Linked DNA regions of Macaca mulatta. The protein of the gene in region 4 purifies or fractionates together with the protein of the main gene of each other region. This does not show direct contact. Links are inferred from orthologs where the notes say so. Each region holds a gene or a part of one and is shown on either strand. Other genes may lie near its edges.

Evidence for each region.
Region 1: the proteins of USP11 (region 4) and TCEAL1 purify together in Homo sapiens (affinity purification with mass spectrometry; 4 studies listed by BioGRID, counting the BioPlex papers as one, with this or other methods). This does not show direct contact. The link is inferred for Macaca mulatta from reciprocal best matches to the Homo sapiens genes USP11 and TCEAL1.
Region 2: the proteins of USP11 (region 4) and TCEAL4 purify together in Homo sapiens (affinity purification with mass spectrometry; 3 studies listed by BioGRID, with this or other methods). This does not show direct contact. The link is inferred for Macaca mulatta from reciprocal best matches to the Homo sapiens genes USP11 and TCEAL4.
Region 3: the proteins of USP11 (region 4) and MYH9 purify together in Homo sapiens (affinity purification with mass spectrometry; 3 studies listed by BioGRID, with this or other methods). This does not show direct contact. The link is inferred for Macaca mulatta from reciprocal best matches to the Homo sapiens genes USP11 and MYH9.
Region 5: the proteins of USP11 (region 4) and TCEAL2 purify together in Homo sapiens (affinity purification with mass spectrometry; 3 studies listed by BioGRID). This does not show direct contact. The link is inferred for Macaca mulatta from reciprocal best matches to the Homo sapiens genes USP11 and TCEAL2.

Annotation. Positions count from the first base shown.
Region 1 is NC_133426.1:110,264,792-110,268,123, reverse strand, and holds TCEAL1 (transcription elongation factor A protein-like 1), read right to left. Parts: upstream 1,297-3,332; coding exon 817-1,296; downstream 1-816.
Region 2 is NC_133426.1:110,221,867-110,226,751, reverse strand, and holds TCEAL4 (transcription elongation factor A protein-like 4), read right to left. Parts: upstream 3,296-4,885; 5' UTR 3,225-3,295; exon of another isoform or gene 2,991-3,224; 5' UTR 2,742-2,990; intron 2,654-2,741; exon of another isoform or gene 2,631-2,653; 5' UTR 2,558-2,630; exon of another isoform or gene 2,548-2,557; intron 2,200-2,547; 5' UTR 2,173-2,199; coding exon 1,522-2,172; 3' UTR 1,120-1,521; downstream 1-1,119. UniProt on the Homo sapiens protein: May be involved in transcriptional regulation.
Region 3 is NC_133415.1:15,265,537-15,269,964, reverse strand, and holds part of MYH9 (myosin-9), read right to left. Parts: intron 3,700-4,428; coding exon 3,576-3,699; coding exon of another isoform or gene 3,554-3,575; intron 1,738-3,553; coding exon of another isoform or gene 1,694-1,737; coding exon 1,522-1,693; intron 80-1,521; coding exon 1-79. UniProt on the Homo sapiens protein: Cellular myosin that appears to play a role in cytokinesis, cell shape, and specialized functions such as secretion and capping. Required for cortical actin clearance prior to oocyte exocytosis. Promotes cell motility in conjunction with S100A4.
Region 4 is NC_133426.1:47,262,990-47,268,129, reverse strand, and holds the start of USP11 (ubiquitin carboxyl-terminal hydrolase 11), read right to left. Parts: upstream 3,144-5,140; 5' UTR 3,124-3,143; coding exon 2,948-3,123; exon of another isoform or gene 2,634-2,947; intron 1-2,633.
Region 5 is NC_133426.1:108,873,313-108,878,088, reverse strand, and holds TCEAL2 (transcription elongation factor A protein-like 2), read right to left. Parts: upstream 3,003-4,776; 5' UTR 2,852-3,002; intron 2,280-2,851; 5' UTR 2,196-2,279; intron 1,848-2,195; 5' UTR 1,821-1,847; coding exon 1,134-1,820; 3' UTR 936-1,133; downstream 1-935. UniProt on the Homo sapiens protein: May be involved in transcriptional regulation.

The DNA.
Region 1 (3,332 bases), about 63 Mb from region 4:
GAATTGTTTGTGAGCACAAGTGAGATCTCCTTTGGGTACCCTGCCTATGTCTGCAGGGAATCTATAGGGGTTGGGGTCCTGCCTGTGCAGGTGGAATAACGACCCCAAACACAGCTCACACAATCTTTTTCTCATCCGGTCCCACAGCAGCACTGTAAAGCAAGTATTATTCCTATTTAAATGAGAACAAAATGACTATTAAATATAATCAATATCTGGCTTATATTTGTGCCTAAGAGATTCAGAAAAAAACATAGGATTCACTTTTTTTTTAAGTTCTGACAAGTATTTATTAAGTGCCACATTGTCTTTATAAGCTGATTGACAGTTTTTTTCAAAATTGGGTGATTTTTTCATTATATATTTTTGCAACACAAGTAAAATGTTTGTCTTGAAAAAATGAGAAATTCAGATAAAGCAAAATTTTTAAAAATCACCTATTATCTTACCACACAACCACTGTTATACCTTTGAAGTATATACTTTGTTTTTTCTTTGCATATTAATATATAAATATACATTTTTTACAAAAATGGGATACAATATATACCATTTGAAAATTGCTTTTTTCGTTTCACAATATATAATGTACATCTTTCATGCAAATGTATAGGACTTATGATTGAAAGAGGGAAACTTGTAAATTTTAGGGGGAAACCCCAACTTTAAGCGAGTTACAAGCTAAACATCTAAAATAAATCCTCACAAAAAGTTAAAATTCAGAATATGGGAAAAGGCATTAAGAAAACGCACAGAAAGTCCAGGTGGCAATGGCAATACTATTAGCAGGCAAAACAGAATTAAAGGGCGAACACATTAAATAGGATAAGGACGGCTCCGTTTTGCCTTCCAATGCATTATCATCAGTTTGTTTCTTACTCTTTTCATCTCTTCTAGCTCATCTGCTGCCTGTATCATCTCCTCATTGCTTAAATTTCTGCCATGTATGTCCCCTCTAAATTGCGGGCGAGAACGAGCCAACCTTTCTTTAAAGCTTCCTTCTTCAAGCTTATGTTTTCCTACTCCACAAGGAGGCTGCTCCATGGGAGGGCGCCCCTCAAACAGGTCCTTCCTGGAAAGGCCCTCCTGCGGAGGGCGCTCCTCCGAGAGAAGCATCTCAGGCAGGAGCTCAGGCAGGAGCTCCTCAGGAAAGAACTCCTCCTCCGAGGACTGCTCCTCCGAAGACTGCTCCTCGAGGGACTGCTTTTCGGGAGAGTGCTCCACCGGAGGCCTCTCCTCATCGGTCTTGGGCGCGCTCTGCGGCTCTTCTTCATTTTCTTTGCGTGGTTTGTCCATGTTGGGAATTTTCTTCTTCAAGCACAGTTATTCTTAGGAGACAAGAAAGGCAGAATAGAGTCAGAATACTAAGTGACTGGACTAACACCCAAACCGTGGGTTCCAATACCTGCCTTTTCCTGATTCGGGGCCCAGGCCCTCAACCTTGCGCTTTCCCAGAGGCTCTCCGGCTCTCCCGACTCCGCCGCTTCCCGGTCGCCCCCTCCTTCCCGAAAGCCCACCATTTTCCCAGCAGGCTTTGCTACAGGCCTCGCCCGCAGTGACTGGCGGGACAGTGCGGCCTGCAGACTCCATGCCTTTCGGCGTCCACCCTCGCGCCCCAGTCCCGGTCCACTGCGTACCCCTTCCCTGACCTGGACCTTTCCGGGCCGTGTGCTTCTAGTCGTCCTCTCCTCGAGGTGCCCCGCTGTGACCAGCAGACCTGCACACAGACGCAAGACAGGGTAGGGGGCGGGGAGTGGGGAGGAGGGACGGACTGACTGACACCCCCCATCCCCCACTTTCTGGGCACCAGCCACTGCCTGCACGCCCCCCACCCCTCGGGTTCTCCTCTAGTCTCAGACCCTGCTTCAAGCTTCGTCCTCCGTGCCCGCACCTCCCCACCCCGCAAAGCTTGCCATTTCTTTTCAGATGGGAAGTGGAAGCGAAGCATTCTTAGAAACTATTTCCAAGTGTCTGTACCTCCCTCCCGAGGGACGGGGGAAGCACTCGCCTTCCCACCCCGCCCCCAAGACCACCATATTTTGCACAGAAATATGGGCGCGGGAGGCGGGGCTGGAGCGTAGGGAAAGGCCTGGACTCCGCCATCCCGATTCTGTCAACCCCATTCCCCGGGTTACTAGGCAGCGCCGACACTCACACCGATTTAAGAGGGTAGAGGGAACTTACTTCCTTCTGCTTTCCCTCTCGACCAAAGGTAATAGGGAGATGGTGGACAGGCAAAAAAAGACCGGGACGAGAGGGACTTGGGCAGACATAGGCTCCTGGTCACGTGAGGGACGCGCGTCACTGCCGAACTCAGATCCCCAGTTACCACTTTGACCCGCGGCCTTGCCGCAGCCACCTGCTAGTGCCTGCTAGTGTTCCCTGACCCCAGACACACCAGGCATTGTCACTCACCTCTCTTTGTATTTGCCTTTTCCTGGTTGCCAGAGACGGTCCGCATCTAGTCTCGGGTAGTATTGCCTCTTCCTCTGTGCTACTTCCCCTGGTACCACCTCTTTCTCTCCTCCTCACTTCTTAGCCACCAAGGCCCCTTATTTCCCCTGCAGTTCAGATTCTGCACTGACATTTGACTATTCACCTTCATAAATCAGTATTATATCCTTATATCCCAACACTCTCAGTTTTAATCCACATCCATATCTCCATCATGTCCATTTAGGCTCTTTCAGCATGTTTTCATCTCTTGTCACTTTCATGGGAGACAATCTTTCACTTTTTCTTGACATCACATTTTGTTTTTTTGAGCCCCCAGACCTAAATTGGTAATCATTCAGTTCTAGACCTCTAGAAAGAGTTAAGTTTGTAAAGTTTGTAGATCTAAAAAGAATGAATACTTTAATTTTTGTAAATCAAATACGCATTTGTCCGTGTGTGTATACACACATATATATGCATGTATACACACTGAATATATTATATATTAAATAACTTATATTTACATGTGCACACATATATATATAGATCAGTAGTTATTTATAATAGAATAAATAGATTTTACTGGGACTCTCAATCCTTAACCAGCCACCTCTTGGTGCTTCTGGTTGAGGAAGTTTATATTAATTCACTAAATTGACAAATATTTGAGTTCTGGGACTGCTGGACCCCAAAAGATAGATGCAGCAGGGAGGGCATTCCGTATTAAACTATGCAATAATTCTATTGACCACATACTGAGTAGCAGGACTACAATCATGCTAGCATTGTCAATTGTCACTGCATTATGTATTTTTTTTATCTAATGGTATTTTATGATCTTTAACCTTATGCCTGCCTCTCACCTACTCACATCAGCCTGGATGCTACTTTCTTAT
Region 2 (4,885 bases), about 63 Mb from region 4:
GGAACAGAAAAAGGACATTAGGGGAAATCTGAATAAAGTACATACTTTACTTAATAATATATCTATCAATATTGGTTAACTGTGACAAATCCACCCTGCTAATGTAAGATGTTAATAATAGGGGACAGTGCATATGGGATACTCTGTACTCTTTGTAATAATTCTGTAGATCTAAAACCATCCTAAAAGTTTATTTTAAAAAAATACTGTAACGAAATAAAAAGCTACTCAAGAGCCAGGGGGAAAAATCACATAGGTAGATGGGTCTATTGAAATAGTAAAGCAGAGCTTAACAGAAATTTCCTGGAAGACAATTCGTAAGAAAAAAGGGTCAGCAGACTAGAGATTAACAAATGAGAATAGCACAGCATCTCGTCACTCAGCTTTTTCTCCTGGCTCAATCTCCACTATCTAAATCTGGTGGAAAACGGCTATATGCAAAAACACACACAAGTCAACAAAAAACATGGAAAGCAGTGTTTTGTAAAAACTTTATAAAATATCAAGGCCCAAGTGACAATTGGGTACTAACAACCTGAATTAGGATAACTCTATTGTAGGTAGAGACGGAATTCTCCACTTTTCTGTTGGGACATAGTGTTGCTTAGTCCATCATGGTCTCCAGCCCAGCAGCAGCAGCTACTGCCTTAGGAGGGTGCAGGATCCATGAGAAAGGGGCATACTACCTTTCAAGTATGGCATTACCCAGAAAGAGTGGCACCCATCTCTCAGCTGTCTGGACTTATTTCTGGGCACAGGTGAGACCTCCTTCAGCCCTCCCCAAGCGTCTGACTGGGTACTGGTTCTGCTAGTGCAAGGGGAGAGAGTAGGAGCCAGCCTAACACAGCTCACACACTCAATACCTCATTTGATCTTCTCCACATGTCTAGGCTAATTTTATCCCCGTTTCACAGATGTCAAGGCTGTCCCTTACAGCAATGGAGCTGTAATAACCATCGAGTTGACTCCTCCAGCTTCCAGTCCCAGAGGTAATGCAACTTTTACCCATCATTTTATGTCCTGACAACAAGAATTTTAAGTATATCCACTGTCTTTATAAGTTCACTGGGCAGTTCATTTGAATGCTTATTCAAATGAATGAAATTCAAATATTCACTGTTTTCCAATATTTTAACTTTTATTATTTTTATGATTAAGAAATCTGTTTTTAGGAGAAAAATGGACAGATGAACAAAAAAGTACAGAAAAAATCACGCACAGATAACCACTGTTAATCTTTTAGTTGACACAGCTTTCAGAATTGTTTTCTATACATAAATTACTAGGTATCTTTGTAGTTTTACAAAAATGTACTGATGCCATATGTTTGGTTCTGCAAGTTGTGTTTTTTAATTTTACAATGCACCATCAACATTCTTTCCATGTAACGGAGGAAAATTTGCTACTAAGAACACCGCGTTGCAGTTGGGTCAAAAGGCTGCTAGTAACAGGAGGGATGCCTAAAGTAAAGTACTACCGTAGGGGTAAAGCACATGGCCTGGTAAATGCCTGCCAGGGACACTACACATAAGGAATGTCTTCAATGTCCCTTCGTGGGGCCCTGCAGCCACCCCTGAATTCCCTTGGGCCTCTAGGGTAGAAGGGGTCCTGTAAATTTCTTTGCATCCACAAAAACGCCCCCAATTTCTGTTTGCTTTTTCTCTTCTCATCCTGCACCTTAGCCATATTGTCAAATTCTCTTATCATGTCCTCATTGCTGAAATTCATATCGTGTATGGCCTCTTTATACTCCTTGAGGTAATGAGCCAGCCCCTTATTAGTTTTTCTTTTGGCTTTCCTGGGTACATCACCCTCAGCTGGGCGCTTTCCTGCAGCCCTTGTTTCACTCCCTGGCTCTCCTTGACTCTCTGGCTTTCCCTCTATCCCTGGTTTTCCCTCTCTCTCTGATCCTCCCTCCATCTCTGACTCTCCCTCCCTCTCTGACTTTCCTTCTTCTTTTGCCTTTCCCTCACTCTCCGGCTTTCCTTTATCCTTTAACATTTCCTCATCTCCTGTTTTGCCCTTGTTTTCTGTCTTTCCCTCGTTTTCCAACTTCTTGTCTTCCAGAGTACAAGCTACTTCTGGCTTTCTCTCGTCCTGTGGCTGTTCTTCATTTTTCATCTTTCCTTGGTTTGAAGCCATGCCTTCATTTTCATTGTAGAGTTTTTCCATGTCGAGATTTCCCCTCCTTTTCGTGCCCTGGGGGATGGGGGTGGAGGGAAGAGGAGACAAAGAGGAGACATGGGAGACTGAGTGCGTGGGATGAAATGCAGGTCTGGATAGTACTTGCATCTCACCCCTGATGAGGGTTCCCCTGAGCTGGCGGGGCCTCCAAGAGGGCCTTCTGCCCACCACGTAGCCTGCCACTCCTCCCACACACGTGAGCCAGCCATTGCCTGGCAAGCCCTGTCACTTTCTCTGCAGTGGTTCAGCCTGGTAAGGTGTGTGTTAATGTGGGTGGGGGGATGGGCGGGGGCCCCAATTCGGCTCTGGCCGGGCCCTCCACACTCTCAACCCTTGTGGGCCCCTGTCCATGCAGCCCCCTACTTTCACGGACCTGCGGGGATTCTGGACAGGTTGCTCCTCTTTTTCAGGCTTCGCAGAGCGCTGGGAACAACAGACGCGCAGACCTGCGGACAGACAGGAGACAGGGGTAGGGGCTGCGCGCTCAGCGGGCTCACAGGGACTCGGTTCCCTTTCCTGAGTCCAGGCCCTTCTCATCCAACGTTTTCCTCCCCTACCTCCCCCGCACCCCAGCCGCCATTTCTTTCCAGGCCTCGGGCACCAAACCAGGATGCTTTCCAAACTAATTTTGGGTCTCTATGTCTTTCTTCCTCAGAGGCAACTCTCCTCCCCAGCCTCGCGGTCAACGTTTTTCTCTATGTACGGGAACGGCAGAGGGGGTTTACTTCCACTGTCTCACTACTGGGGCGTCCCCAGCCCACCATCTCCGGCTCCAAAATGGACGGAGGGCAGAAAAGAGGATGTGCCTGGAAAGCGAGCTTGGATACTTGGAGGTGCTCGCCTTCCTCACCCTCTGCCCACTGCCTACGTGCTCCCCCTCAGCCACCTTTAGCCGTTTTCCCACCGCCATCTCTGTCCACACTCGGGCCAGCTTCCCTCGACTCGACCCGACCCCACCCCCAGCCTTTCCCGGTACTGTACCCGTTCCCCTTCCGCCATTCCAGCATTCCGCTGGCAGCGTGGAAGGCCCGCACACTGACCTGGAGGAAGCTGGACCAAGAATTAGGAGCCCAGGAACTGGAGCAGACGGGACCCAGCCGCGGGGACAGAGGGCGGGCACTCGGACCGGTGCCCACATCTGCGCCCAGGCAGATCACGTGAATGCCGCAGCACAGGAGTTCCACCGCCGCACGCCCCACGCCCCGCCTCCTAGCCAGCCGCTTCCAGCTACCCACCACCTCTCTCCAGCAGGTACCCTCTCACCTCCCTGGACCCTTTTGTCCTTTTCTTCTTGTTAAGAAATTAATCAAAGAAGGAATTTTAATGAAAATCGCAAAGTTGTTTTTTTTTTTTTAATGAGTTGGGCGGTCCAGAGGAGGAGTCTTGATAATGTTGCTCTTAAATTCCACAGAAATAACGTAGACCCACCCGATAAAATCGTATAAATGTGAACTCAAGTACTGTATAAAGAATAGAATATCGACTTTAGAAAAAACTTAATAAAAATTTTCCAAAATAAATGAAATTGTCCCTTTTTCCTGACATGTACAAACATAAATTTTCAAATGAATAAAAAAAGTTATATTTGAAGCAAAATAAAAACGATTAATTTATCTTAAGTGAGAAACTGAATATACAGAGACAATGACCAGACCACATACGAAAATAGAACTGAGACCCACAACCGTTGCTGCAAGCAGCTCAAGAAGCCAAAGTATAGCATCTGCAGAAATGTTCAGGACTTTAATCAATTTGCTAGCCTTTCTGGCCTTTTTAATTTTTTTGACCTGATGACAAACAAGAAAAACCCAAATATGAACCCATACTCAATCACATAGGATGCTTGCCTCTAGTTGGCCTGCCTCTAGCTTCCTCACGTCAACAACATCCAATCAGAGCATACTTGAAGTCTTTGTGTTTTTGTTTTCCGCTATAAAGCTTTCCCACTCCCCTGCCTGTCTTTGAATCTCTGCCAGATTCAAATGATGGTGGCTTGACTTCCTTGCTATAAAAAAGCTGTGAATAAGTAGCACTTGTTTGTTCTCTTATGGGTAGTCTCCGTTTATCTCCACATAAGCTTTTGGTGTGGAAGGCGTTTAAATATAGTCACGTGCCACTTAATAATGGGGATATGTTCTGAGAAATGCATCAGGCAATTTCGTGGTGGTGCGAACATCGTAGAGTGTGGTTATACAAACCTATATGGTATAGCCTACTACACTCCTAGGCTGTATACTATAGCCTGTCGTATTCTATGCTGTCTGTTGTCGTTGGCCAATCGATATGCAGTGTGACTATATAACAAAGAGACAAATGCTGATAGATTAGATTACATGAAAATTTTTAACAGATTTGTTGAAGGACTGGGGACACATGCACCCTCCCCTGCTCTTATTGAATATATTGGTGAAATTTTTCTGAAGATCAACTTTGTAAATTATTTAAAAATAAAAATATTGGCCAGGCACGGTGGCTCACACCTGTAATCCCAGTGCTTTAGGAGGCTGAGGCGGGTGGATCACCTGAGGTCAGGAGTTCAAAACCAGCCTGACCAGAATGGTGAAACCCCCTCTCTACTAAAAATACCAAAACTAGCTGGGCGTGGTGGCGGGTGCCTATAATCCCAGCTATTTCATAGGCTGAGGCAGGAGAATTGCTTGAACCCGGGAGGCAGAGGTTGCAGTGAGTCGAGATCATGCCA
Region 3 (4,428 bases), on a different chromosome or scaffold from region 4:
CTGGAGTTCCGAGATCTGAGATTCCAGCTCCCGGATCTTCTTAAGGGCCATGTTCTTCTGGGCAGCTTCCTCTTCCACTCTGCCAAAGCGACCAGCAACATCAGTATAAGGTCAGTTTCACCTCCAAGGAGCAGAGTTTGCGGGACAGGCCTGAGAGAGGTGCGGCAGCCAAAGCTGCCTCTGGTGGTCACAATCATGGCACTTAGGGTGGCTCTCAGTAGAAACAACATCTGAGGCAACCAGACTGAAGGGCAACACCCCTCTGAGAACTAGAAAACCTCATAGAGGAATCCTTTCAATTTCCAAAGTAAGATTCACTGCTTCAAATATTTTTAAAAGTCAAATGATTTGTGGCCGGGCGCGGTGGCTCACACCTGTAATCCCAGCACTTTGGGAGGCCGAGGCGGGCAGATCACGAGGTCAGGAGATCGAGACCATCCTGGCTAACACTGCAAAACCCCGTCTCTACTAGAAACACAAAAAAATTAGCCGGGAGTGGTGGCGGGCGCCTGTAGTCCCAGCTACTCTGGAGGCTGAGGCAGGAGAATGGCGTGAACCCGGGAGGCAGAGTTTGCAGTGAGCCGAGATTGCGCCACTGCACTCCAGCCTGGGCGACAGAGCGAGACTCTGTCTCAAAAAAAAAAAAAAAAAAAAAAAAAAAGTCAAATGATTTGTTAAATGGGAAGAAAAGGAAATAAAATATTACACCACAGGATGACTGTAACTCAGTAAAAATATGAAAGTGCTATGGACTTTAGATGGTTGTGAGGAGTCAACGTAGGTTCACCAATTAGAACAAACACACCACTGCACTGGGGGGTGTTGGCAGCTGGGGAAGCGGTGCGTGAGTGGGGCAGCGGAAGATGGAGAAACTTCTGCTGATTCCTGCTGTGAATCTAAAACTACTCTACAAAATAAAGTCGCTTTCTTTTTTTTTTTTTTTTTTTTAAAAACAGAGTCTCGCTCTGTCACCTAGGCTGGGGTGCAGTGGCGCGATCTTGGCTGACTGCAACCTCTGCCTCCTGGGTTCAAGGGATTCTCCTGCCTCAGGCTCCTGAGTAGCTGAGATTACAGTCGTGTGCCACCACCCTGGCGAATTTTTTATATTTTTGGTAGGGATGGGGGCTTCACCATGTTGGCCAGGCTGGTCTCGAACTCCTGACCTCAAGTGATCCATCCAGCTTGGCCTCCCAAAGTGCTGGGATCACAGACATGAGCCAACATGCCTGGCCAAGTCTTTTTTTTTTAAGTGTACCTATAGCAAGAAATTAGCAAAGGACTATTGTAGGTGGGTGATAGAGTTGTGGATGACTTTTTTTCAAATTACAAACAAATAAACAAAAGACAAATGAGGCCCCTCACTGTGCCCTGAGTGCACAAGAACTGCTTTGCTATGAAATAAATGGCTCTTCTAAGACAACAGTGGAAAGAATGCTCACAGCTCTCTGGTGCAGAGAACTAGGCCCAGCAGCAAGCAGAAAGGGCTGGCCCAGGCCACCTGGCCTCAGGCGGGGTCCTCACCTGGCCAGGGCGGCCTGGAGCTCCTCCTCTTTCTTGGCCAGCTGCATCTTGAGCTCCGCAATCTGCGCCTGGAGCTCGGCGATCTGGTCGCTGAGGTCCGTGGAGTCTCCCTCCAGCTTCCGGCGGGTCTTCTCCAGCTCCTGTCGCTGCTTCTCCTCCCTGCGGAGGCGCTCTGCAAGGAGCGGGGAGCCCACATAGCCCTCAGTGCCGTGGGTTCTGTCTCCGTGTCAATTACTTATACAAAATACCGAGCACTCGTTATGAAACGTGTGTCAGGCTGAAAGCATCACAAATACACAGACACTCACACCCAACTCCTGCACGCAGGAAGAGGACATCACCGCAAACTGCCAGCCCCTGGCGTGTCTCTCTCCAACTCACCCCTCGTCCTTCCCTGCCAGGAGTTAAGTACTCTCCTAAAGCTGGTGTTCGTAACCCCCTTGGTTCCCTTGAAGGTTGTACCATGTCTGTATCTCTAAAAAACATGTTCAATTTTGTGCGAATCTCAACTTTTAAGATGGAACTGCCTTGTGTGAATTCCACAGTTGGAATCACAGAGTCAGGGCTCGGTGTCTAGCTTTATAACTCTGTGATGTCACTAGGGAAAGCTACTTTCTATACCTCGTCTGAATAACAAACAAAAGGAGACGGCCTACTTCATTAGGATGGTGTGAGGGGCCAATGAGTTACTATCTTAAAAAGCACCTAGAACAGTGCCTGGCTGGTGATGTTTATTCCCTGCCATGCCTTTGCCACCCCATCCCATGGTCTTGAGATGTAGCCCGTGAAGTTTTGCTGGAATAGATGTGTATGGACATTTATCTAGCATTCCATGATGTGAATACACCACAACTTATTTATGTACCCGTCCTGCAGCTGGCAGGCATGGGGCTGTGTTCATCGCACACTCTGATACACAACGCTGCTGCAAGCATCCTGCTCACTCTCAGCGCAGACGGCTGAGTGATGGATGGAACGGCCGGGTCACCAGCATGCCAAGCTTCAACCTCACTAGGACCGCTGGATCGTTCTCTAACGCCGTCTACCAGTCTGCAGTCCCAGCAGCAGCGTGTGTGTGCTCTGACGGCTCCGTGTCTGTGTTAGCGCTTATTAGTGTCAACCTTTCATGTCTGTCCACCTGGTGGGCGCCACCCCTAGACCTCCTGGATGACCAAGTCTTCCGCGCTCCTCCCAGGTGAGGCAGGGTATCTGTGGGCTAAGAGATCTCTCTAGTGTCCAGACCTCTCTTCCGCTGGACCTGACTCACCTCATCCCCTGCAGATGTGAGGGGGCTGGACAAGGCTGTGACACCAAGCCGGGGAAAATCCTCCCGGCAGTCAGGCTGTGGCCTCCCTCCCCTGGGTATGAGCTCAGAGTTCCCACAATAGTCAGGGTTCTCCTGTTCCCCCAGTTGTCAACTCCTCTCAAGGGGCAGGGCCGGGGGTCCTCAGACAACCACGGACCTGTGTTCTACCCCAGCGCCCCTCCCTGCCACAGATCCCCGGGGCACACAGAGACAAGGCAGGATCTGTCACCCTGCCCCAAATGAGCTTCCGCAGTAACTGTCAAGGACTTTACGGTACATACGTGTTCACATGTATTTAATGAAATTTTCACAGTACCCTAGCACTGTGTCCCCTTTTTAGGTAAAACTAAAGCTCATGGAGCTTAAGTCACAGGTGTAAGATGAGCCAGCTAGTCAGTGACAGAGCTAGTGAGTCCTGTGGGCCAAACCCAGAGCCTCCTAGGCAGTCTCAGAAGCTTCCAAAACCCACGGCACACGACAACAGGGCAGCGCCAAAGCTCTCCTTTAAACACACTTCATGCAGGGGGGCAACTAGCCACAGAACAACAGGGGCCTGGAGGCTCAGGCTCCCGCAGGCACCAGACACGGCTCCCCTCGACCTGTGACCTCAGGTCTGAAGGGCAGCAGCCAGTGCTGTAGTGTGGCCCAGGCTCACCCGTGAGCTGAGGAGGCCTCCGTGTTCCGGTCAGACAGGCCAGCCCCTGCCCGCCAGCCCCTGCCCATCACCTCCTGCCCGTCACCCTCTCACCTTCCAAGTCGGTGATCATTGCCTCATGCTTGTTCTTGAGCTTGGCGAGGCTCTTAGATTTCTCCTCCTCTTCCGTGAGGTTGGTGGTGAACTCAGCTATCCTGTCTTCCAGCAGTTTCTTTTCCTGGGGAGAGGGGAGTAGGCCGGCATTTAGTGTCCGTTGAGCAGAGAACACTAGCCTCAAAGCATGACTCGCCCGGAAATTTGGGGCTGAATGGAGAGGGCTTTAGACACTTGATCAAGTTCATGAGGATTTTCCTGGATCAAAGGATAATTTTGAAAGGTCACCAGCTTCCCTGAAACAGTGAGGTATATGCTTCCTCAGGATCGAAAAATGTGGGTGCCCAAGCCCTTCCCCTTCCCCTGTGGGCTTGGGTGAGAAAGGCTTCCAGGTGACAGCTAGTGTCAGCAGGGACAGATGGCTCCACTCCTTCAGGAGGCTGCCATACGGCGCTCACCTGCGCCACCAGGCCACCTTCTCCGTGCCCCTCTCTCACCTGCCAGGGGGGCCACAGCCCCTCCCCCTCTTTAGCCCCGCGGTACCCCGGGCTGCTCTCCTTGCTTTCTGTTCTGTGTGGCCCCCACAACACCCCTGCCCAGGGGCCAGAGCTTGGCACAAGCGCCTCAGTCCTCTCATCCCAGTCCCGGGCGGACGTCCTGCCACCTCAGCCTTTGGAGCTCCCGTGGTCTGAGGAGCCCCAAAAGGTGGGGAGGCTGCCTTCTCCTCTATCTGGTTCCCCGGCTGCTATCTGCTCCCTGGGCAGACACTGACAGGGACCAGCTCATTCTCAGGAGGAACGGCTGCCGCCCAGGGACAGTGGAGGAGTACCCCACATCTCAATATAGAGCCACC
Region 4 (5,140 bases):
AGGTGAAATTCACATAACATTAACCATCTTAAAGTGAACAATTCAGTGGCATTTAGAACATTCACAGTTGTATAACCACAACCTCTCCCTAGTTCCAAAATAGTTCATCATCCCAAAAGAAAATCCAGTACTGGTGGGGTAATTTTAAAGGGTATTGTCAAGGATGACAGGATGTAATGTCCTATCTACCAGTGACACAATCACAAGGCCACAAAGGTAGAAAGAGGCAAGGACCAAAGCCTCAAGGCCCTTTTGAACATCTTCAAATGGGTTATAAAACATTGTGGTTATTTTGTTTATTCTCAGGATGAAATGAGGCTTTTTCTTGTAGGAAAGGTATGACGTAATGGCAGAAAAACACGGCTTGGGTTTGTATTCCCGATCTGGAAAATCTCAACTCATCTCCCCAGTAACAGAGATACGCATTTCACTGGTGTGGTTATTAAAGAACTCTGTAGTGAGTAAACCTCACTCGAAAAAGCCCTAAGGTTAGATGTGTTTGAGGAACAGCAAGAGTCCAATATGGCCGGCCTGGATGGAGACAGAGAGGGAGTGCGTAATCAGAAGAGAGATCTGGGAAGACATCAGAATGCAAGCTGGAGACCAGCTTCATAAAGTCTTACGATTCACTGTAAGGATTTTAGCATCTACGTTGCAAGAGATGGGAAGCTGTTAGGGGTATTTTGAGGAATGGTTGGACATGATACATGTTTTAAAAACAATTATTGCGTACGTAAAGAGGAAAACGGTACTTTTACAGTTGAGAAACCTGGCCAACACTACCATAACCAAGTGATCAAGGTTAACATCACCAATGATGTCATGTGGATACCATGTATCACCTGATAGGAAGAGAAGGGCTCACAGTATGCATCCAGTAGAATTTTATATATATATTCCATATATGTATAAAGTGAAAGCTTAGACATTACATACTACTTAGGGATGCATACAGTTGTGGTCAAACATCAAAGAAAAGGAAGAGACTGTTAACTCAAAATTCAGGATAACAGTTTCCCATGGAGCAAGGAGGGGAATTTCCATCTGGGAGGGGCAAAGAAGGATTTCTCAAGACAGTGTTCTGAATCTTAACCTGGATGGTGAATTCACACGTTTTTATTTAATTATTATTTAATTTTTAAACTTTGAAATAGATTGAGAAAAATGGCAAAAATAATACAGAGAATTCCCACATATCCCACATCCAGATCCTCCAAATCTAATATTTTACCCATTTGCTCAATCGTTGTTTCTTTACATGCATTCTTTTTTGGTATTTTTATTTATTTAAAAATGGACAAAAATGGTATATATTTATGGTGTACAGCATGAAGTTCTGACTTATGTATACATTGTGGAATGACTAAGTCAAGGCAATTAACACATCCATTACGTCACATACTTATCAATTTTCTGGGGGGTGGTAGAACATGTAAAATCTCTCAGCAATTTTCAAGTATACAATGAATTTATTAACTATAGTTGTACAATAGATCTGAACTTATTCTTCTTGTCTAACTGAAATGTTGTATCCTTTGACCAACATCTCCCTAATTTCCCCTTTCCCCTCACCATATATAAATTTATATATGCTAATTTTTCAGGCATTTGAGAATAAACTGCTTACACAATGAGTTCTTATCCCTAAATTTTTCAGCATTTCCTATAAACAAGGGTATTATTTTTCATGCCACAATGATCACAATTAAGAAATTAGTAGTACTAATATCTACCCACTTTAATAAAATTTCACCGATGTTTCCATTGCCTTTTACAGTAAAAGAGACAAAAATAATCTTATGATAAAAAATTGATTTTTAAAATAATTTTTTTTTCTGTTCCAGGATCCAATCGAGGATCACATGTTGCATTTAGTTATCATGACTCGTTAAATCGCATTAATTCCTTCAATTTAGAACAGTTCTTCAGCCTTTGTCTTTCACGACCCTGACATTTTTGAAGAGTGTAGCCGTTTATTTTAAAAGGATGTCCGTCAATCTGGGCTGCGTAAATGTTTTATACAATCTTCTTAGGTCTTACGTATTTCACAATTAAAAAACCAGATGCAACTCGGCCAGAAATAAAATGAACCCAGAAGCAGTAAATCTCAAGAAGCACTGTTTAGCAAGAAATCAGTAAAACAAGCCGATTTATCAAAATTATCGGTTTTTAAAAAAACGACTTTTTCTTGATTCTAAAACCAAAACAGTACCAAGACAGAAAATCAATTGAACATGGAAGGCCCCTCCCGTGCTAATCACTTGCACGTTCTCTCGACTCGGGAAGGCTTCTGCCAGAATAAAAAACCTCTGCGCATTATAAACTTTGCTTATTCGCAGGCGCCATTTTCTGCCTTATAGGCACCACCTCCCCTCCACTGTCGTCCCTCGGCCTCAGAACACGCCCCTCGGCTCACGTCACCAACCTAACCTCGTTCCCAGGCTCCAAGCTCCTCCCCCACGCAGGTCCCCGCTCCCTCCCTCGGACCGTTCGGCTCCATCCCGCTCTTCTGCTGACGTCACAAAGCTCGCCTCGTTCCCAGCCACGCCAGAGCAATCGGAGACCGCTCCCCGCCCCCAAAAGTTGCATTACGCAGCGCAGGCCGCGCCCCCGCCTTACATCGCAGAACCCACCTTCCTCCCAGGTTCCTACGCAGTTTCACTACGCAGGCCCGGCCCCACCTCCAGGGCTGAAACCGGTCTCATCACAACAAACCCCATTTTGTTCTCAGGCGTCAGACTGCACCACACAGGCCCCGCCCCTTTTCCAGACGTTGCGATTCATTCAAAGACACTTCCCCGCCCCTTTAGCCCGCTGTCCCGTCGGCCACTCCCCCGCCCCCGCACCCCGCAGCAGCTTTCCCGCCGCCCTCGGCCGCCGAATCTCCAGCGGTTGTCAATGCCCCCACTGTCCCCTCTGCCGAGGCTTCACCGCAGCCCAGCCTCACCAGCTTTCGCCGGCCCGCAGTGGACGTTCTCGCCCACTCTCGCCGTTTTCTATCTGGCGCCACTGGCTGTCTAGGCCTGGCAGCTCCTCGCGCTGTGGCTCTCTATCCTCAGCCACCGCCACCGCCGCCGCCACAGCCGCCGCAGCAGCAGCTGGATTTGCTGCGACCGTCGCCATCGCTGTCCGTTCTCCTCTACAGCCAACGCAGCTGTGCGAGATTGGAAGACGCCCCTCAACAGCCACTTCCGGATTCTGGTCCCGGAAACGGAAGCAGAGCCCCCCAAACAGTCGCGGGGCTACTGCCATATTGGAAATGGCCCCGCGCACAGACGCGTCGAAGGGTTAGGTGGGGTAAAATCTTCAGTGGGAACCAAGAAAGACAAAAGTGCCTTGTGGGGTTCCAACGCCCTGTATGGGCACAGGTGGCATGGAAAGTGGAGGCTGAGGTTCCCGAGGTGGGCGAGGTGGGCGAGGACTCCTACCCTGGGAGCAGCGTTTGTTAGCCTGATCAGAATGCCCTTTATTGTACTACCCTTAACCATCAAAACCCAATGCAAAAGAGGTTTCCACCTCCAGAGACCCACCTAGGCCTGCGGGTCATTGTTTCTCTTCCTGAACTAGATTTATTCACTAGACAAGGTGTTGAAGGCAAGTTAGCCCCAGGCCCTATGTTTGTTGGAGTCATAGCAATCATAACTAAACTAGCTGTCCGCCCAGTTTAAGTGCTTTGTTGGACTAAAATAGTAGCCTCAGGCAGCAGGTACTGTCCTTATCACCCATGGGTAACAACTGGACGCTGAGTACCAGAAATGTCCCTCAGCTAATAAGTGATGGAGCTGCAGTTTAAACTTGAGAAATCTCGTTCCAGAGCTGTGACCTTAAACACCAGGTCAAACATTCTCCAACCGTGTGGTCCCAGCCTGTCTACCGGTCCAAAACTCCTCTTGGGGGTTCACAAAATGAAAACTATTTTCACAATACTTTTTCACTCTCATTCTCTCAGGGGTGTACAGTGTAATTATCTAGAGGCTTCTGAATCCAGAGGCTATATGACATAAACAAGAACTCTTTTGAATGTCTTAAACTTTTAAGAACATAAAGGAATCCCGAGGCCCAGAGTTTGAGAAGTCTTGCACTAGGCCAGGGTCTCTCAACCTCAGCACTGTCATTTCTTTGTTGTGGGCATTGCAGGATGTGTAGCAGCATCCCTGGCCTCTACCTACTAGATACCAAGTAGTACCCCTCAGGACAACCAAGTGTTTCCAGACATTACCAAATGTCCTTTGGGGGAAAAATGTCTCTGATTGAGAACCACTGCACTAGGCTATGCTATTCTTTTCTCTGCCAGGGCTGCCAGCCCTGTTGGTGATGACTTTAATTTCGAACCTCCCTTCCCCCTCACAATCTTGTAATTTACCTATTTTCAGTTAACCTCTGCGGGGAAGGGATTGTGTCTTTATTACTCTGATTCCAGCCCCCAGCCCAGACCTGGCATAGATGAGGGGTCAGTTTTGTAAGCGCTGGGTGAGGTAAGGGAGCAGCCCTTTCACTTAAGGGTCCCCAAAGAAAGTGGCATTTGAGTTGAGTCAGACACATGGCAGATAGCTGCTCTTTAAGCCCAGTTGAATCTTGTCAGATTCTCTGAATTGATTCTCCCCATTATACCTCTGCAGACTCCCCCTCCCCATTTATCTGGGCAGCCAGGTAAATCCAAGAGACCTCCAGCCCTAGACCGTTTTTTCACCTTCCAGAGGCCAACCTCTGCCCACACCAGTGACCCTACCACTTCCCAGAGCAGTTGGGTGAAGTCTAATCCTTTTAAATCCACCCTGGCAATCCTGTCCCCCTTTGCAAGGCCCTCCTTTTCCCATCCTCCGTTGCTGCCAGAAGTGGCCATGTCATCTGATTCTAGCCAAGAAACGGCACCGGAAGTCTGCTGAGGAGCTTGTGGAAGTTCCAGCCGTTAAAAGAAAACAGGCAGGTAAGGAAGGTGTTTTGTTTTCCCTGCTTGCTTTTCCACCTCTGGGGACATGGCAGTCATCATGGCACCATGAAGCTGCAAGCTGAAACATCACTAAAGTGCTTACAAAGATACAGTAGAGGCTGGGCTTGGTGGCTCAAGCCTGTAATCCCAGCACTTTGGGAGGCCGAGGCGGGTGGATCACTTGAGGTCAGGAGTTCGAGACCAACCTGG
Region 5 (4,776 bases), about 62 Mb from region 4:
AATTTTACCCCAGCCTTCTATCCTTGAATCTGGTGGAAAGATGGCTGTATGCAAACACTTCCAAACCAACAAGCATAGAAACAATTGTTTTACTAAAAATCTGAAATCCCCCAGGGACTGAAGTATCACTGAGGTGTTACCCTATTGGGCGAGTATAACTCTAAAGTGAGGAAAGGGACTTTATCCACATTTTCGTAGGTGTCGTGGAATGGGGTCAGTAGGCTTGGCTCACTGGGGACTCCAGGGAAATCAACCGGACCTTGTTATCTTGAGAACTTCAGCCCATCAGCATCAATGGGAGCTTTAGGAGGGTGCAAGATTTATAAGAAGGAGCGCAGTGCCCAGTGGACATGACATTGTCTAAGAAAGGATGGCACCCACCTTTCAGTTTCCTAGACTTATTCCTGGATACAGGTAAGATTTACCCTAGTTCTCTTCCAAGTGTCTGAGGGGGTATTTTTTCTGCTAGAGCAGGGGAGAAGGTAGATGCCAACCCAACACATATATTCTCTACCTCATCCAACCCACTCAGCAGTTCTGAAAAGCGAAGTATTATCTCCATTTGACAAACAACAAGACTGTCCATTAGAGCAATGGATCTGTAATAACCCCAGGTTGACTTCTCCAGATGAGTCCCACAGGTAGGTAATGTGAATTTTACCTATCGTTTTAAGTTCTGACAACAAGAACTTTAAGTGTCTCTACTGAACTTCATAAGTTCACTGGACAGTTATTCTCTTTGTTTTTTACATACTGTGTTCTGATTTTTAAAAATATTTTATTATTTTTGTGAGAAAAGTAATTTGTGTTCTCTGGGAAAAGAAAGATTAGTAGAAAGAAAGAAAACAAAGAAATGAAATCACCTGCTAGCTCACAACTCAGAAAACCACTGTTAACCTTTCATGTATTTAACAAAAACAGACAGATTCTGCAGATGATATTACAAGCTGCTTTATTTTTCCATGAATCATGACGTCTCTGAAATGCACAGGTGTGAAAATCTGCTACTGAAACATAGAGCAAGCAAGCACTGGCAGGTGGGTCAAAAGGCTACTGGTAGCAGGAGGAACAACTAAAGCAAAGTATTACCATAAGGTTAAAACATATGGCCTGATAAATGCCTGCCAGGGACACTACACGTAAGGAATGTCTTCAGTGTCCCTTCGTGGGGCCCTGCAGCCACCCCTGAATTCCCTTGGACCCCTAGGATAGAAGGGGTCCTGTAAATTTCTTTGCATCCACAAAAACGCCCCCAATTTCTGTTTGCTTTTTCTCCTTTTATCCTCCACCCTAGCCATGTTGTCAAATTCTCTTATCATGTCCTCATTGCTGAAATTCATATCATGTATGGCTTCCTTATATTGCTTGAGGTACTGAGCCAGCCCCTTGTTTGTTTTTCTTTTGGCTTTCCTGGGTATATCATCCTCAGCTGGGCGCTTTCCTGCAGACCTCCTTTCACTTTCTGGCTCTCCCTCACTCTCTGGCTCTCTTTCACTGTCTGGCTCTCGTTCCCCCTCTGCCCTTCCCCCTCTCTCTGGCTTTCCCTCTCTCTCTGATCCTCCCTCCATCTCTGACTTTCCCTTCCTCTCTGACTTTCCTTCTCCTTTTGCCTTTCCTGCACTCTCTGGCTTTTCTTTATCCTTTAACGGTTCCTCATCTCCTGTCTTGCCCTTGTTTTCTGTCTTTCTCTCGTTTTCTAACGTCTTGTCTTCCAGAGTACAAGCTACTTCTGGCTTTCCCTCGTCCGGTGGCTGTTCTTCATTTTCTATCTTTCCTTGGTTCCAAAGCATTCCTTCATTTTCATTGAAGAATTTTTCCATGTCGAGATTTCCCCTCCTTTTCCTTTCCTGGGGGATGCGGGTTGAGGGAAGGGGAGACAAAGAGGAGACATGGGAGACTGAGGGCCTGGCGTGGAATGCAGGTCTGGATACTACTTGCATCTCACCCCTGGTGAGGGTTCCCCTAAGCTGACCGGACCTCCAAGAGGGCCTTCTGCCCACCACATAGCCTGCCACTCCTCCCACACACGTGAGCCAGCTGTTCCCTGACAGGCCCTGCCACCTTCTCTGCACTGGTTCAGCCTGGTAAAGTGTGTGTTCATGTGGGTGGGTGGAAGGGCAGGGGCCCCGATTCGGCCCTAGCTGGGTCCTTCACACTCTCAACCCTTGTGGGCCCCTGTCCATGCAGCCCCCTGCTTTCACGGACCTGCGGGGGATTCTGGACAGGTTGCTCCTCCTTTTCAGGCCTCTTAGAGCGCTGGGAACAACAGACGCGCAGACCTGCGGACAGATAGGAGACAGGGGCAGGGACTGCGCGCTCAGCGGGCTCACAGGGGACTCGGTTCCCTTTCCTGAGTCCAGGCCCTGTTCACCCAATGTTTTTCTCCCCTACATCCCCCGCACCCCAACCGCCATTTCTTTCCAGGCCTCGGGCACCAAACCAGGATGCTTTCCAAACTGCGTTTGTCTCTGTGTCCCCCTTCCCTGAGACAACCTGCCCCAGCGCCACCCCATTTTTGCGGAGATCAAGTGTTTCTATGGGCATAGATTGTGAGAAGGGATTATTTCTAGAATATGTCTACGTTTCACTGTCGCACTGCGGAGTCGCTACCCCCACCCCTCATTTCTAGCACTAAAAATGGATGGATGACTCAGTGCAAGGGGGCGTCGTGAAGGCGAGCCAGGCTCGCTTCGGGAGTTCTCCCTCCCCTGTCCCCACCCCGGTCCGCTCCGCAGGCATCCCCTTCCTCACCAATCTACAGGATTCCTTCTCCGCTCCCTCCCCAATCCTACTGCCAGCCCCCTCCACCCCTGTCCCAGGGGCCGCCGACAGCGCCCGCTTTCACACTGACCTGCGGGTACCCAGGACACGCCTGTGCTTCCTCCGGCTCGCGGAAGCCGGCTCGCTGCTCCCCAGCAGTCTGGGCAGCTCAGACAGCTTATTCTGCGCGGGCGCCGGGACCCGACCGCTGGGCTGGCTGGCGGGCTGGCGTGGGGGCTGGTGCCCACGTAGGCGTCCGACGGGTCACGTGAGCGCCGCGTCACTGGAGCTCGGCCCAGCTCTTGCCCGACACACCTCACCCTGGAGCTCGGCGCCCCCTCTTGCCTGACATACCTCATCTTCCATCCCTGAGGGACCGGAGGCTGGGGACTGTCGGAGTCTCGGTGCGTTTGTGTAGCAAAGTGGGGTCGCGGAGAAGAGGAGGAGGGGTGGCTTTCTGACCCCAGGTGCTTTACCTGACGCAGCTCACAGCATCCTCGCAAGGCATCTCTCTCTGATGCCCATTATCGCCAGGTGTGACAGCTGATCAAAGAGGGTACCCGACTTTGCCAAGAGCGCTCAGCCCCAGAACTCCACAGCCCACTTTCAATACTGGCTCTGCCTGACTCCAGAGCCCGGGGTAGTGACGCCTGCCAGGAAGCTGAGCTGCCACCTTGAGTGGCGGTGTTCCTGGGGTTCTGTCCTGGGCCTCCTCTCTCCTCAGTCCTCAAGTTGTCTCTCCCTGTGTGATCTCATTCATTTCCAGAAAGCACCGATGACTCCCAGATCTACATCTCCAGGCTATTCCCTTCTCCGTGTCTCATATCAACTTTGCCAACTCTCTATTGGACATCACCGCCCGAGAGTCCTTGAGGGACCTAAAAGCCCGTGTACCCCAAATTTATTTCACCAACTTCCTTCTTGCCATCTCCCATGGCCTCTCTGTGCACTTGAAACTTACCTTCCAACATTTGATCAGTTTTCATAGAGAGAGAATCTCAGACAGGTAGAAAAGAAAGCATTAAAACCTTTTAAATATGAATTTCAGATGCACAAATTCATCATAGTCCTTGGTTTACAAGACACCCTTATTATTGATCCCTGCTTGTCCCTCTTCCTTCCCTTTTCTTTCCTGTCCTGTTATGTCTTTCCCTGCCCATCCTTTGTCTTTTTTTCTTTCCTTTTCTTTCACATTTGTGAAGCTACCACCCACAAAAACTAAAAGTTACCAATATTTTAACTTCTACAGTGTAGTGACATGTATATGTATATATACACATATGTTTATTTATACACACATATATGTGTAGATGTATATTGTGTACATATATATGTGTATGTCGTGTGTTTTTTTGTGTGTGTAAATCTGGGCAACAACTATTTTGGTTTGCAAAATACCTTATCATGATTATATGATTATGAATTATGTATGTTACACAAACAATTCTGATATTTCTGCTACACATCTTCATTTAGTAAAACCTCGATCTTCCTACAATATTTTGCTCTATCAATATGTGTGTTTGTCATTATCACCACATAACCAACAGTACTGTCCTCAATGTTGAATTTTTTCCTGAATTATAGAGGCTAGGTGTTTCCATTTCCTCAGTATAAACTTTCATAAAATTATTATAATTATTCAAGAATTTGATGAAAATAATATCAAATCAGTTGAAAAGAACTGCTTTTCTGTTTTAATCATCTAATTATAGTGATTTTAAGCTATCTTTGGTAACTATTTGCTAAGTTATTTTGGTAATGGAGCCAAAGTATTAACAACTATTTCTCCTCTTTTAAAACATATACACAAAAATGTGGAATTCAAAATTAGTATCATTAAATTCAAAGAAATGTCATTTTATCTAAATTAAAAGATCTGTTCACAAAATGAGAAGTCAACACAACTTTTGCATTTGCGTGTAATAAATTGACACATTGTTCCTCAAGTAGTTACTACCTTTGGAAGAAGATATAATGACAGTTCTCTTGATGCATAATATATGTTGATTAAAC